Linked DNA regions of Arabidopsis thaliana. The protein of the gene in region 1 interacts with the protein of each later gene in a pairwise test. Each region holds a gene or a part of one and is shown on either strand. Other genes may lie near its edges.

Region 1 (4,791 bases):
TTATTATTACTGATTCAGCATTCAAACTTATCATGTGATTTGGATGGTTATTGAAGTTTCATATTAATTGATAAATTAAATGTGTTGGGATGATGAGAGGTGATATAGAAATACATATTGTAGTGTTTAAATAGATATGGATTCAAGTATATAATTAATTCTTCTTAATCAAATTAATTTGAGTTGGACTAGTAGTCTAGTAAGTAGTAAGAGAACATATTCGGATGGTATCTTAAATTTATGAAATACAGTGTGTTTTCAGTTTTTATTGGTAGCAACAAATTTATCGGTTCATACCTCAAAGATAGTATTATACGTGTCTACGATTATATAAAAAAATCAATACAAAATAATTGTTCATTCAAGAAACAATCGGACGATATGAACATTATAGTTACAAACTAGTAAAAAGCTATAAATATGTAAAGTGAAAACTATTTAAAAGGGTGAAAATTAAAACGTATCAACGTTGGAGTGTTTCAAAAATATTTGGTTGGATAAGCTCAAACTAGTCAAATTGTCTCCCCTCCCAAGCGGGAACATCACGCCATGTCCACAATAAATCCATTTTTCTTTCTCTCAAATATATATAGAGATACATACATCGATACTATTCTATATATTATGTAACAAATTAGAAATATCATATACCACATGGTAAGTTGTATAAAGAGAATTATTAGTGTTTGCTTATTGCAAAATTAATACAAAACATTTTCTATTGAAGAGCTACAAATTAAGAAGGAAACTGAAAAATATAATAAAAAGCAGAATATGTTACGATATTTGTATGAGTGTATGAGACAACAGTATCAGATAAGATCATAATCCTTGCGACCAACCTATCCAAAAGTCTCTTTTTTGTTTTCTAATCAATTTACAAAACATTTAACCAATAAAAATATAAAGATGGTGAAAAAAATATGGTCATACAACAATTGCTTCAAAGGGGGATGAACTAAAATATACCAAAAAAAGAAGTGAGGATAGGTTCATGTGAGCCCCCATCCCACTTGACCCTCTTGGTAGGTCCACATTTACCATGAACATGTAACCCATTGGTTATTCATTTGTATGTATTGTTTTTTGTCAATGACTTAATTTTATTTTATTTTCTTCTTCTCTGACTTTTTTTTGTTTATCTGACTCTTCTATGTATGTCAAAATGTAGCAAGATAATTGAACATATTTGGATTGTTGAAAAACATATCGATATTTAGTGAATTAGTTTCTCCTCCAAGCATCTAGAATGTCATAACTGTGTTGAATTGTACATAAAATTTGATATGGATTGATCATTGATAATAAATCAATGAATTAATGATCTATTAGAATATGAACTTTTCATTCAAATTTAATTGATAATAAGTGGATTTGTCTATATGTAATATTTTAGTCAAAAAAATTGTTTCTTTTCAATGCGATATTATTATCCTTAAAACGTTTTCTCGAGATAATTTTTTTCCGAGCCATTAATTTTAGTATGTTCAGATATAGATCGACAGAAAAACTATAATTACGTCGGACCAATTGTAGATTGGATTGAATACATATGGATCAGATTCTAATACCATATTAGAATATGAGGTATCTAATTCAAAACCAACTATTAATAAATAGATTGACTCATATATGTCTTATATACTAGTCAAGATTTCTTTGTCTTTTCTAATGTGGGATATTATTATCCCTAATATCATGAATAAAATCAAGAGTTAATGTTTAACTATATCTAATCTATACTACCCATCTTTTTTCGGAAACTATATATAAGTTATAAAACCAAGAAATTCTCGTTATCCAATAAAAATAATAATTTTGACTATGGTTATATATCAGTTTCAACAACTTATATGATGATTGATGAGAACCTTATTTTATGAAAGTACGTGGTAATGTGTTGTAAGAAAATGTTCTTACGCCGTTGAAATATTTTTCCAAAAAATGTACATAACAAACGTACGATATGTATGTAAAAGCCGTGGTACTACATTTATTTTTGTCTGCCCTTCTCGGAAACTTCCTTCAAAGTTATTTTTGCCGTTCTTGAAAGCGTTGACCCTACCTTTCCATTTTTAAAATGTTCTCTCATTTTGACCCATTTTTTTCCATAAACCAATCAAATTTTAACTTTCAAAAACATAAAACTAATTAGATATAAAATAATAACATGTACATGCACTTGCCTCGTCCATTCCTCACATCATCATATGTCTTTGTATATATATAGATGAACCAAAGAAATGAAAAAGTAACAACGTCACCTAAATCTCTCTCACCCAATTTGTGTTTCTTCTTTCTGCTAAAAGGTTATAATTTTTGTTTCTTGGTTTGGTGAGAATCTTCAAGAAACTGAAACAAAGAAAATGGATTCTAGTTGCATAGACGAGATAAGTTCCTCCACTTCAGAATCTTTCTCCGCCACCACCGCCAAGAAGCTCTCTCCTCCTCCCGCGGCGGCGTTACGCCTCTACCGGATGGGAAGCGGCGGGAGCAGCGTCGTGTTGGATCCCGAGAACGGCCTAGAGACGGAGTCACGAAAGCTACCATCTTCAAAATACAAAGGTGTTGTTCCTCAGCCTAACGGAAGATGGGGAGCTCAGATCTACGAGAAGCACCAACGAGTATGGCTCGGGACTTTCAACGAGCAAGAAGAAGCTGCTCGTTCCTACGACATCGCAGCTTGTAGATTCCGTGGCCGCGACGCCGTCGTCAACTTCAAGAACGTTCTGGAAGACGGCGATTTAGCTTTTCTTGAAGCTCACTCAAAGGCCGAGATCGTCGACATGTTGAGAAAACACACTTACGCCGACGAGCTTGAACAGAACAATAAACGGCAGTTGTTTCTCTCCGTCGACGCTAACGGAAAACGTAACGGATCGAGTACTACTCAAAACGACAAAGTTTTAAAGACGCGTGAAGTTCTTTTCGAGAAGGCTGTTACACCTAGCGACGTTGGGAAGCTAAACCGTCTCGTGATACCTAAACAACACGCCGAGAAACACTTTCCGTTACCGTCACCGTCACCGGCAGTGACTAAAGGAGTTTTGATCAACTTCGAAGACGTTAACGGTAAAGTGTGGAGGTTCCGTTACTCATACTGGAACAGTAGTCAAAGTTACGTGTTGACCAAGGGATGGAGTCGATTCGTCAAGGAGAAGAATCTTCGAGCCGGTGATGTTGTTACTTTCGAGAGATCGACCGGACTAGAGCGGCAGTTATATATTGATTGGAAAGTTCGGTCTGGTCCGAGAGAAAACCCGGTTCAGGTGGTGGTTCGGCTTTTCGGAGTTGATATCTTTAATGTGACCACCGTGAAGCCAAACGACGTCGTGGCCGTTTGCGGTGGAAAGAGATCTCGAGATGTTGATGATATGTTTGCGTTACGGTGTTCCAAGAAGCAGGCGATAATCAATGCTTTGTGACATATTTCCTTTTCCGATTTTATGCTTTCGTTTTTTAATTTTTTTTTTTTGTCAAGTTGTGTAGGTTGTGATTCATGCTAGGTTGTATTTAGGAAAAGAGATAAGACCAAAAAATAAATTGGAACAATGGTTTTGTGGAAAAGTGGTAAATAGACCTACCTCATAGTAAAACGTTACCGGATACAACCTAAATGTTTATCCGTTCCTAAAACTAGATGAATCAAATTAATTAACTATCTAAAATTGCATGATAAATCGGAAAAAGAGGATGAATTCTTGGCAATTTCATCCATTACCGTACAAGGACTTATTTCTCTTACTTGGCAACTAAAGGATGCTCATAGGTGTCTTAATGATCTCACATAGCAAGTTAGCAACCTTTTACTCTCTTTTTTTCCAAGATTACTCTACTCTAGGTGTTGCTTCTGTAATTCCTTTATTTTCATTTCTAATGATATTTACAAGTTTTGCAAAAAAAAAAAAAAAAAAAAGTTAGCAACCTTGGAGTCTCGACCAATCTTGAGGGGAGGATATGGCATGAATGATGTAATTGTAGAGTCATTCTCGAAATTCACCACTTCATAGCCCACATTGTCAAGGCACCATTCAAGCTTACAAATTAGCAGTAGTCTGCCTCTTATCGTCTCGAAGTTTTCTGGTATTGGTATAAGCTAGGTTTCGTTCCCCAAAGGTCGAACCATTAATAAATGACTGAAATCTTTTAACCTCAAAACAGAAATATGTAAACTGAACGAAATCCAAAATATAGTAATGTGTTCCCGAACAGATTCAAGCGACTTATAGTGCTTCTGGCAAACCTCACACGACTAGGCTGGTGAACGGAATGGTACGTAACCATTGCTAGAGGTTGTATGGCTTCAGTTTGTTCAGTTCAAGTACAAGAATCTTGGGGATTTTTGTGAACATTGCGGTATGATTAGCCATCGGAAGTGTGAAAAAGTCGCAAAACAGAGATGTTTGACCCGCGCGGGTTTAAAACGATACGATTCTCAACGGGTTGGTAAGGGTTTATCCGTGAAGTCTCACTACTCCCAGTCGTATGTTGACATGGGTTTACTGTTCGAGGAGACACTTACTTACGCTCAGTTCATGGTAGAGGTTAGGGTTGATGTTGTTTACGCAAGCGAGCATGAGTGGGGCGGCAAGAAACTGATTCGTTCCTTGTTGGTAAGTAAGTATGATTATTGCTTCGGGTTTCCTTGTTTCCCGACACGATTCATTAATGATGTTTTACCATTTGAAGAGATAAGATCTCACATCTGGCGAGGTTGACGACCGAGGACAAGGCCAGCATCGTCCGTGGACTAGCAGATCACTTAATGAAGCAGAGGAGGACTTGGTCAAA
Region 2 (4,791 bases), on another chromosome or scaffold:
TAACTTTTTAGTTTATCTTCGGATCTGATCTATCTTCTTTAGGGGGTTTTGAGTTTTTCTAGGGATTGTGTACAAAAGAGGGATTTTTTTGGTTTTGTTAGGTTTAAAGTGTATATAGAGATTAATAGAAATGGCTTTAAATTTTTCACATAGACCTTTTTCTTCTCATCTATCTGAGGAACCAATGATGATAGCCAATGGGAATTGGTGTTCAAGTTTCGATAATGGAAGGAAGAATACTGGAGGAGATGCTTCTTCTGTTGATATACTTGATGTTTTGCCATCTGATCCGTTTGGTATGGATATCAACAATACTTTCACGGCTATTACTGGATGGCTTGAGGATTTGGAGGATGATTATAATAACCAATATGGAAGAAGAAGAAGAGATGACATTTGGATTGGTGATGGAAACCGTCAGCAGCTGTTTGCTGGATTGAGTTTCTTTTGGAACAATGCAATGCAGTTTCAGAGTAGTGGTTACAGTTATGGATCAGAGTCATTGTTTGGTGGGGCGTTTGATGGGTCTCTGTTTTCCACATGTAAATTCCCTGAAAGTAGTGGGGAAAATAATGGGTTTGGAGGGGCATTAGATGGTGATGGATCTTGTCATGGTGCTTTCATATCTGCTAGTAGTGTTGATGAGGTATTGAGCCATGAGAATGCGAGGAATGGTGAAGTTGTAGGAAGTAGTGATCGCTGCAATAATGGAGAAGAGGATGCGTATGTTCATCCAGCGATTGGTTTTTGTCTTTATCACTTGCGAGGGAAGGATCTTCTTTCAGTTAGTATGGTTTGCAAGTCTTTGCATACTACTGTTTGTGATGACACGTTACTTTGGAAGCATATCCACATTTGTCGACCGTTGAATGAGAAGATCACGGAAGAGGCTCTACTGCATTTAACTGAGAGGGCTCAGGGTACTATGCAGTGTTTGAGGATCGTAGATTGCTGTAGAATTACTGATGATTGTCTTAAGCGGGTGGTGGCGCGCAACCGACAAGTAGTCAAGGTGAGCTTCTTTCCTTAATTTACTTTAAAGCGTATTTGGATTACTAATAAGTAATATTGTAAGTTTTTATAGAAGTGCCTGGTAATTGAATTGATTTGTGGGATCCTATTAAAACCGAATGTTGTTTTGTGGTTGGCAGATTGGTGTGCCTGGATGCACAAGGATAACTATCGATGGTATTTTGAGCGTCTTGAGGGATCTGAAGTCTGCGGGAAAGCTTCAAGTGAAGCATTTACAACTTCGTGGCCTCTTTGGAGTGACTAAAGATCACTACGATGAACTGATTGACTTGTTGAACATTGACAATAAAGTCAAGCAGACTATTCAGAAGCCGCGTTTTTACCATAGAGGAGAAGCTTGTGTGTCCTGTGATGATGACCGGGCACTAGATATTGAGATGTGCCCAAAGTGTCAAAATTTTAAGCTTGTGTATGACTGTCCAGCAGAAGATTGTAAAGGGAAAAAGAAAGGTTCTGAGGAATGCCGTGCTTGTTCTCTTTGCATACAGAGGTGTTATCATTGTGGTCGGTGCATCATTGACACTGAATACGAAGAAATGTTTTGTTTAGAGCTTTTGTGTGCTGTTTGTTCGAAGCCGACCCCTAAGTTAACTCTCTAGGTATAAAATTCCATCTGAGCCTTTCTCTTCTCTATGATTGAATGACTCAGTCTCCACGGTTCAATGGAGATGATCTTCAACTATCTCTAGAACCTTTTTTTTTTTAAACAATAAAAATATGTTCCATTTCATATTTGTTGAACACTCTTATCTTTATTATTGGAGATCTATTAAAAGTTTGCATCTTTGGGTTGTTCTTGTTCTTCATCTAATAATCAAACAAGAGAGATCATTTATGTAAATTTAAGATAAGCTTTGACAAATAATTAAAGACTCACGCGCCTTTTATATTAATCTTTGACATCTTCTGCTATCTCTCCTTCTTCCTTGGAGAAAACATGTTTGTTTCCGATAACAACAATCCTTCACGGGACATAAACATGATGATCGGCGATGTTACATCAAACGGAGATCTACAGCCACACCAGATCATCCTCGGAGAAAGCAGTGGAGGAGAGGATCATGAGATCATCAAAGCACCAAAGAAACGAGCAGAGACATGGGCACAAGACGAGACTCGAACCTTAATCTCATTACGGAGAGAAATGGACAATCTTTTCAACACTTCCAAATCTAACAAACATCTCTGGGAACAGATTTCTAAGAAAATGAGAGAGAAAGGGTTTGATCGATCACCATCTATGTGTACGGACAAGTGGAGGAACATATTGAAAGAGTTTAAGAAAGCTAAGCAACATGAAGATAAAGCAACAAGTGGAGGATCAACGAAGATGTCTTATTACAATGAGATTGAAGATATTTTCAGAGAAAGAAAGAAGAAAGTGGCATTCTATAAGAGTCCTGCTACTACTACACCATCTTCTGCTAAAGTTGATTCCTTTATGCAATTTACAGATAAAGGTACAATCTTTAGCTTGGTTTTGGGGATTCTGATTGATTTGTTGCAGGTTTGGATAAAATTTCTTAATGGGTTTTGGTTTAGATTTGGATTGAGAAGATAAAGACTGATCTTTTTTGGTTTTAGTTTTGTTCCTCTTTTAGTGCTAAACCTGGTTAAAGAGGCTTTTGACCATTAATGGCTAATTATAAAGTTGTAGATTTGGTTTGTTAAACTAGATTGACTTTTTATAGTAAATTTGGGTTTTCTTCTAAAATTGATCTTTATCTTTATCTTCTTGTAGGTTTTGAAGATACTGGTATTTCATTTACATCTGTTGAAGGTATTGATCTCACATTTATTGAATCTTTGAGTGTATATATAAATGGTGGTGTTGAAATCTTTTTTAGTTGGGGAATTACTTTGAGAGAAATGGTTGTATCAGTCCTAACTTTGGGTAAACAATTGTGCAACAACTTATGATTCTCTTATAATTCAGTGAAATAAAAGTGAACTCATACCAAATTGTAGAATGTTAGTGATAATGTGAAGCCGATTTTGTTTGGTTTGTGGAAGTAGTGTTAGTCACTTTAGTCTTGATATGAGTTGTATCTGTATGCAGCTAATGGCAGGCCAACGCTAAATCTTGAAACGGAGCTTGATCATGATGGTCTTCCTCTCCCCATTGCTGCTGATCCCATCACAGCAAATGGAGTTCCTCCTTGGAATTGGAGAGACACCCCTGGAAATGGTAAGTAACCAGACAATCTAACTTAGAGAGAGCCTCTCCTTGTTTATTAAGCTTTTGAACTTTTATGGCAACTACTACTAATCGTTGTCATGTTTGAAGCAGGCGTTGATGGTCAGCCATTTGCTGGGAGGATCATAACGGTGAAATTTGGAGATTACACAAGACGAGTTGGGATTGATGGTACTGCTGAAGCAATTAAGGAAGCTATCAGATCCGCGTTTAGATTGAGAACAAGACGAGCTTTTTGGCTAGAAGATGAAGAACAGGTTATTCGCTCTCTTGACCGAGACATGCCTTTAGGGAACTATATACTCCGCATTGATGAAGGTAAATCCACTCTTTCTTCTATGCTATTCATCGAATACTCTCTGGTTAGAGGTTTCTCAATATCCATTTGAATTCAGGGATAGCCGTTAGAGTGTGCCACTATGATGAATCTGATCCGTTACCAGTCCATCAAGAGGAGAAGATATTCTACACCGAAGAAGATTACCGAGATTTCTTGGCTCGACGAGGATGGACATGTCTGAGAGAGTTTGACGCGTTTCAAAACATAGACAATATGGACGAGCTTCAATCCGGTCGCTTATACAGAGGAATGAGATGAGAAAACGGTTACTACAGAAGGCTAGAAGAAACCTTTTATTTTTCATCAGTCACTATAAATAGCTTTTTTTGATCCAAAATACTTTATTTTCATCAGTCACTGTACATATGCACCTCTTTTGACATGCCATTGTGAATCAGAGGAATTTGATTTGTTTATTGAGAAATCTCTTTTTGATCCAAGAGCCATAAAGTTTGATTGGTAAACAAAACGGTTCAGTACAAGAGACAGGGACAATGAAAAAGCTGATAACTTTTGAACAAAACACAACACAAGTACAGGATTCCAATTCTCATACAATTCAGAAAAAGAAAAAAAACAGAAGAGAAAACGATATAGGTGTGTGAATAAAGGATTCACGTGCCTTTAAGAACAATGAGAACTCCCAAAGAGATAAACGCAAGCTGAACAAAGAGCCTTGCATACGTGTGTCCCGACTTCTGTTACTCTTCTTCATCCCACTCGTCGTTCTTGTATGAGACAAGCGTGTCGACTTTGTGAATCTGCAAAGTATGAAACCACCAAAATACTTAGACATTTCAAAGTGTATAAATAAAGGTTTCAAAATTCTTCCTCCTCCTTACCTTGGTATCAAAACCGTGTAACTTAACCATCTGTGGATTAGCAATCAACTTCGGGTCGCTCTCGATCCAAGTGAATGGAACAGCCACATCAGTATCCGTATACGCCAATACATCAAACACACCTAATACAAACAACATGCACAATCAAAAACGAGAATCCAAATCAAACTAGTTCCGAAATGATGATCACTCAAAGTTCCTATGAATTGGTTCTTACATGTTTCATCAAGACAAGGCAAGTAAGTAACACTTGAAGCAACCTGTCTCATAATAGCTTGAATCTCCCTCATGATCTCCTTATCACTCTTCTCCCTCGACACACTAAAAAGTTCCATAAAGATAACATAATGAAACAAAGAATCAAAGAAAACAAACAAACT

The links. Proteins that work in one complex are often made in the same cells at the same time.
Region 2: the proteins of RAV2 (region 1) and AT3G25990 interact in a two-hybrid assay, tested with the Arabidopsis thaliana proteins (one study listed by BioGRID).

The regions. Positions count from the first base shown.
Region 1 is NC_003070.9:25,878,076-25,882,866, forward strand, and holds RAV2 (uncharacterized protein), read left to right. Parts: upstream 1-2,247; 5' UTR 2,248-2,366; coding exon 2,367-3,425; 3' UTR 3,426-3,475; exon of another isoform or gene 3,476-3,880; intron 3,881-3,890; 3' UTR 3,891-4,147; downstream 4,148-4,791. Other genes in the region: AT1G68845 (uncharacterized protein), read left to right, coding at 4,359-4,621, 4,690-4,791.
Region 2 is NC_003074.8:9,503,882-9,508,672, reverse strand, and holds AT3G25990 (Homeodomain-like superfamily protein), read left to right. Parts: upstream 1-1,885; 5' UTR 1,886-1,969; coding exon 1,970-2,492; intron 2,493-2,773; coding exon 2,774-2,812; intron 2,813-3,091; coding exon 3,092-3,220; intron 3,221-3,322; coding exon 3,323-3,547; intron 3,548-3,624; coding exon 3,625-3,827; 3' UTR 3,828-3,996; downstream 3,997-4,791. Other genes in the region: AT3G26000 (Ribonuclease inhibitor), read left to right, coding at 131-1,012, 1,152-1,631; MAD2 (DNA-binding HORMA family protein), read right to left, coding at 4,271-4,330, 4,412-4,533, 4,629-4,732. UniProt on the Arabidopsis thaliana protein: Probable transcription factor that binds specific DNA sequence.